Linked DNA regions of Arabidopsis thaliana. The protein of the gene in region 2 interacts with the protein of the main gene of each other region in a pairwise test. Each region holds a gene or a part of one and is shown on either strand. Other genes may lie near its edges.

Evidence for each region.
Region 1: the proteins of ZAT6 (region 2) and UPB1 interact in a two-hybrid assay, tested with the Arabidopsis thaliana proteins (one large-scale study listed by BioGRID).

What each region holds. Positions count from the first base shown.
Region 1 is NC_003071.7:19,410,785-19,414,195, forward strand, and holds UPB1 (transcription factor UPBEAT protein), read right to left. Parts: upstream 1,545-3,411; 5' UTR 1,266-1,544; coding exon 957-1,265; 3' UTR 646-956; downstream 1-645. UniProt on the Arabidopsis thaliana protein: Transcription factor that modulates the balance between cellular proliferation and differentiation in root growth. Does not act through cytokinin and auxin signaling, but by repressing peroxidase expression in the elongation zone.
Region 2 is NC_003076.8:1,215,340-1,219,046, forward strand, and holds ZAT6 (6), read right to left. Parts: upstream 2,024-3,707; 5' UTR 1,699-2,023; coding exon 982-1,698; 3' UTR 719-981; downstream 1-718. UniProt on the Arabidopsis thaliana protein: Probable transcription factor that regulates root development and phosphate (Pi) acquisition and homeostasis. Probably acts as a repressor of primary root growth and regulates Pi homeostasis through the control of root architecture.

The DNA.
Region 1 (3,411 bases), on a different chromosome or scaffold from region 2:
GCACATAGTGACATAACACAGTTTTACCAATTACTTTGAAAGAATTACAATGAAAAGTAAATTACATCGTTATAATACGTACTATGAAGCTAGTAGTCTTCTCGATAAATTTTCTGCATATCCACTATTGATGCCTAGAACTATTCGAAAATAATCGGTATATTCTTTTTTTTGGTCATCGCAATTTTTAATTTATTTGTAACACCCTAAATGGAGAGCGTAGTAACAACACGTCAACAACAAATAATATGGAAAACACGAATGAAAAAACAAAATATAGCTAACTCACTGTGTTAAATAGTTTAAGGATTAATTTTGATATTTCAAGACTAAAATTCAAGTTCTTTCACTGTAATTTCCAAATCATAGTTTGCAATTATGAACTTTCAAATGAATAGAAATATTGAAACTTTCACAAGTTCGAAGGTGAGCCTGAACTTCGAATTTGGATGCTTCCACTATATGGACTAAAAATTCGGTATTTGAATTCGTGGCCCACGCACTTTCACAGCCCAACGTTAAACATTCTTTTTCAACAGTGTTTTGTCCCTTTATTGGTAAAAAATACCTGTTACCTCCCTACATTTGTATTTTCTCCAACCGACTGAACTTAATTTTATTGATATCATGTTTACAACATAGTTCCTTTACAACCTTTTTAAGAAATGACCCTTTGTTCTTTGCTAATGTAGCACACAAAAACTATTCCCATGGAACAATTATCATGTTTTTTTTGCCGAACCAACAGTCATCTGTTATTTAGATAAGCATATAATACATATATATTTTTGATATTTAATTTTCTGCATAGTCTACAGCAGCAAGATAAACCAAATTCCTTTTCTATATAAGCAACACAAGACAATCACACGAGATAATAAAAAATAAACACGAACAAATAAAAACTAAAAAGAACGTAAAATCCAACAAGATATACAAAAAATATATGAAGGCTTTTAAACACAGTTAGTTTCGGTCAAAACCTGAACCATTGTCTGCATAACTTTCACTTTCATTTCCAAAGCCAAGATATAATCTGCCGTTTGTCTAAAGAGTCCATCTAAACCTTCTGATGTTTTGGTGTTGGGAACAAGCTCTTTTAGCGTCTTCACTCGTCTGTGTATTGCGCGACAAGGTCTTCTAGAAGCTTCTACACTCTTCCTTGGTCGGATCATGATCTTCTTCACAAGTGCCCTTCGAGCCCTTTGTCTTCTCATCAAAACCCAAATTGATTCCTTTCTTTGTCCTTCTAATGTTACACCCATATTATTATTGTAAATGAAAGAATGTTGTGTAGACAAGTGATAACGTTTGCTTACAAGATTAGATGCAAATATATATGAGAGTATGAGACGCCCTTAGTTTATATAGACATACATAGAGGTCAGTGACCTTTATATATAGCTTAAAATGGAGATTACAGCTTCTGAGAAGGTTCTCCTTTTATCTCTCAAAAGAATTGGATGAGAATTTGACAAGTGTCCACAAGGGTGTTTTAAATGTTGTTTTTGATGGATAATTAGGGTTTAGCTTAAATCAGAGGACATGTCATCAAAATACAACTCGATGCACATGCACTCACATGATTATCATCACTACCCAACTCTCTTACATGCTTAATAACACCAACTTTCTTCCCATTCACATCACCTTAAACACCCTGTCTTATTCCTCCTTTGTTGCGCTTTATCCATTTTTTCATTTTATTTTATTTTACTTTCGCAGCCAATTTGTTCTGAGATTAACAAAGTCGGGCGGATTGAAGCAAACCAAAAAAAAAAAGTCAGGCATTAACGAAGAATATAATTATCTTTATGCCATTATCTTTCTAGATTAATTCTTAATCTAATTTATAAGCATGCAATCAGTGTATTAAGACGCTAGCGATTGAAATAGACAGATATATAGGTTGATAAGATGAAAAAGAAAATATTCATATTATGCCGCGCGCGTTAGCAAAAGTCAAAACAACTATCGAAAAATTATCTTATTTTATATTTCTCCCAAAATTTTGGTCTGATTCGTAAACTAATTTAGAAACATACAATATATTAGTGTTTGAGTTTCGCTACAATGTATATAGTTTGAATTGATCACCACTGTCGACGGAGATGATAGATAAAATATGACTATTTGGTTGTCATAATGCTTTTGCTTTTATCAAGTCGTTATATATCTCATTATTTCCAGCTGATATAACCCGGCGCAACTAATTAAGAAATATGAATAACCTAATGATATAACAAAAGCATTTCTAGGTGTTTTATTTTTTTGGACAAAGTAGATAACGATGTTGGATAATGGGATAAGGTCTTAATATAAAAAGACACAAGAACATGCAGTGATCTTCTGTGTTCCTTTGAATTTATGGACTTTCGTATTTAGGATTTTTATTTTAGTGAGTGGATTTGATTGAAGCACCTTAAAAGATTATGTTCTTTCTCGTCATGTGTTTATTTTTAAGAAAAGAAAAAGAAAAGCAGATTCGTGGAGCGATGTTGATCAAACATCCTCGGAGACTATAGATTCAATGTATATCTCCCATCGCCGTCAACACGAAACATTGTACTTACAAATTCTCTTAGACATATATGTACGTCTCTGATAATTGAGATATATAAATTGATCATTAAATGAGAATTAGCTTAACATTCGCATATGATTGATCAGTGTATGTCTATATTTTATAGGTTTCAAGGTAACGTGAAAAGTACCTAACTAATTAAGGTAGGTTTATACATATAATAAGTAGCCATAATGGAGTGTTTAGTGGTCGAAATTGATCGCTTGTTAGCAGCACGTTGTATGTATATTAGCTTAACGTGCATGCACATGTTCTTATATCCTCCCTATTCGTCTAGGCCACCCAACACATCTATATCCCAATTCACAATTTTTTATATATATTTTTTATTACCAGAAAATTATTAATGTTTCGGAAATTATGATCGAGTAATTATCTTATGTATAATTTTTACGAAATTTCCTTTGTTAATATCATAATAGTTGTTTTAACCAGAAAATGGTATATATATCAGAAAGAAGTAAAACAATAAGAAGACCATATCAGCAGAATCTATTATATGTTGAATGTTCTGTCTTCCAATAAATGATACAAAAATAAATCTTAAACTAGGATTTAATCCGTGGTACACCACGGGACAAATATTTTTTATATATATATATATAATAATATGAATTTTACGGTTTTAGTTTAGTATTAAAGTTATATAATTTTATATTAATATTGTAACTAAAAAAATTGGTGATGATAAAATAATAAAATAAATATTTAACATGTGTTATATCAATCCAAACCCGTCCTGCTATTCATATCAATCTAAATCCGTCCCGCTATATTTTTTGTCTCATGATTTTTTAATTTTTTATAAGTTTAAATATTAGTTGTTG
Region 2 (3,707 bases):
TATACAGGTGCGATTAGGTCTTAAACGGTGTCTGTACTGTATGATAAATTGATAATCATATTATCGCTTTTAAAATGTACTAAGAAAATAATGTTGAAGCTAATATTAGTAATTATACAAGGGAGTTTAGTATATAGAGTATTTACATTAATTAGAAAATATAATTTTTAATATAGACAAATTAAACTACTTAGGTGAATAAATTTCTCTAGTAATATACAATAATTAAGTAGAAGAAGAAAAACTCCATCTCAAGTATAAATATTATCTTTGTTTTTCTTATAGTTATCGCTCTGTGTGTCGATCAAACTATGTTAGCAGGTTGTGGCCGAAAAGCTTTGTATATTTTAAGAACTCATTTAGGTCATACAATGATGTTCCCAAAATGGTACATATCTGATAAAAAGGATCTTGGTCTTTACTCTTTACTAATGCGTCGTTCAATCTCATTAGATCATTTTAAATTTGGGGTACACCTAATTTTTATAGTCATATAATCACATGGAGTTAACTTTACACTTTATAAAGAAATTATGGCATATAAAAAGAAAAGCTCTCTTTTTGTTCTTAGATTCAGTACATTTATATTTATGTGATGTAAGATGATGGGAGATCAACTTGTTGGGTGTTGCTGGTCACGACGAGCCTATGTGGAAGTATGGTTGGATATATGATGGGCTCAAAACTTGTAAGTTAGGTCATACCGGCCTACCAAACTAAGTAGGCTAGTCCAACGGATTAACAAACTGGCCCGTAAATTAGTCACTTTCGATATGCTCTCTTATTATGTATGATGTATCCAAGCAAATTTTGATACGTGTGAAACAATAAAAAGTTATATCTTTTTCAGAAACATCAATTATACAACAAAGAATCATAATTTTTCAGTGAAGAAGAACATCAATCAAAATCGATATTTGTATATACAGTAAAACAATTTCCTATAAAATGAATTCTGTAAAGTTTTTCCTAGGTTTATGTTTAGGGTTTCTCCGGGAAGTCAAACCGGAGTTTCTTCGCCGGCATAGGACTCATCACCTCTTCGTCTCCGTTGACCATCGAGAATTCCGGTATCGGCGGTATGTTGAGGTCAAACCCACGGTGGCCACTGCTGACGTGGCTTGTAGACCCCACATCTTCAGAATTCGACACGCTACTACTCACACCGCCTCCGTTCTTTCCTTCGTAGTGGCACCGTTTGTGGCCGCCGAGAGCTTGACCGGTGGCGAACGATTTATGACAGATAGAGCAAACGTGCGACTTCACACTTCCTCCCCCGCCACCGGATATACCAGACGTGGTTATCGCCGACGATGTCGACAGCTCATCTCCTCCGGCAGATTGAGTAAGCGAAAAGCTTTTCCGGTGACTTGCCTTGTGTCCACCAAGAGCCTGGTAAGACGAAAACGCCTTGTCACAGACGCTACACTTGTAGATCGGAGTAGGAAGAGGAGGAAGCAGAGGAGGTGAAGACGAAGAAGAAGGCAGGTCAAGGTCACGGTTTCTATCTCCGTCGCGAGCAAGAAGCATGAGACATAAAGCGATATATTCATCCTCCGTGAGACTCTGACGGTCGAATTCAGATCTTGATCGCTTAGATCGTTTGCCTTTGCTTCCATGAAACCCTAGTGCTGAATCTTGAAACAGAGTCGGCATCGGAGAAGATAATCTTGGAGAAGTAAGAGTTTCAAGTGCCATTATCTTGAAGACTAGCTACTAAGTTCTAAATTGAGAAGAAAGATAATTGTAAATGAAAAGATTTGATTTGAAGAAACAAGAAATGAAAGTGTGTGTGTTATATATAGTAAAGTCAGAGGAGTCTGAAGAGGAAGGAAGTTGCGTGTCGAGAGATGAGAAAGAGTTGAAGAAGAGTGAAGAAGTCGATAATCACTTTAATTTGATATATTTATTTTAATTATATATAATGTTGTGTGGACTAGAGATGAAAAGTGAAAGTATCTAAGTTTGGTTTGGGCACATTTGGTTTGACTTGGTACACGTGTTTGTGGAAGTCGGCTAAGAAGACTTGTTCTCATTTCTTTCTAGTAAGTAAGTAATGCCGCCTTCTTCAATTCTTATCACTTAAGAATATTCTAGAGAGCTCTCACTTAGGTGTTTTGCTGACCAACCAACCAACCAACCAACCAAGTGGAGATACAAAAGGCCAAATTAAGTCGGCTACTTAACCAGTTTTACTGTCTTTTCATAACTTATCGAATTAATACCTACTATTAATGTCTAAACCCATCAATATCAACGTAACCTTTTTAATTTTAATCTCGAGGCCCACTTGAGAGATGAATATGTAACCGCTTAAAAGGTGAGGTTTCGAACTTGGGTGAAAGGAATGACCTAGTGAACTAGTGCCACTATAGTGCCCCCCTTCTAATGTAACCTTTATCTATGTTTCTTCTTTAGGTTTGGCAAACTATATCATGTTGACAAATTTGTATTGGGCATCAGTGATTAAATCTATGATATTTTTAAAATTCATCTATTAATAAAGCATCCAACTAAAAACGAAGAAAAGAATGTTAGAATTAAAAGATATAATGATATAACAAAGGGAATGTTTCGCCAAAGTACGAAAAGAAAGGTTACTATAAACCTAGGAATAGACGAAATTTTTTTAACCATTTTATTAAGTTTATGGTTGAAATATTTATTAACAATTCCTCCACAAAAATTGCAAGTAGAACACTCGAGCCACTTCTAATTTTAACCACTCAAGCCATTTCTACATGATGACCACTCGAGCCATTCCTAATTTTAACGCATAACCTCAAAAAATAAAGAGAAGACAGAATTTAAAGCACAACCTCAAAAAACATATACTGATCAAATTTGTATATATAAATACATCAAAATCGCAATCTTTATAAATAAATAAATAAACAAAAAAATAAAAACAATCTAATTAACATCCCCAGAAAAACAAAATGAAACGTCTCACAATTGTTCTCATTGTTTTAGTGTTTTACATTGGAGATACGCATGGGAGAAACGTATTAATGATAGTAAACAGGTTACCAAAAAACGCAACCCTGAAGCTCCATTGTTATTCAGGGGACGACGATTTTAAGACCATGTACTTGCGTCACAATGATCCACCACAAACTTGGCGTTTCAAAGATGCTTTCTTCCATGAGACACAATTTATATGCAATCTACACCAGGGTTACCATTGGGCGCATCACCGTTCGTTTATAGCTTACAAGTCAAGTATGAACACCTCTCAGAAAAATAATGCAAATGCTACATGGTTCGCCGGTGAAAAAGGAATCTACTTGTCCTTTAACCAGAGGACTCCTGAATTTATGTACATCTGGATGTAAACCAATCATAACCAGTTGCTCTTAATTTTATGTTATAATTAGTATTCTTGGTTTGATGTCAATGTATAGTACTATATATCTAGGATAAATTAATAACACAGAATGTAATATATCGGAGACTCGAAAATATGTCATTACATATGAATGTTGGCTATATATACGTCATATTTTAATTAGGTCGTCGTAGTTTCGAACGGAAAAATTCATCACCATCTCCCTCCTCTTTCTCTCCAACATGAAACTTCTATCGTTTCCTCTTTTTACTTATGTTTGTTCCTTTTTCTTGATGGCTACTTATTTTTTCAAATATTATTTTCTAAGATATTTTATGAGAAAACAAAATATGTTCTAAATCATGGATTATTAATTAGA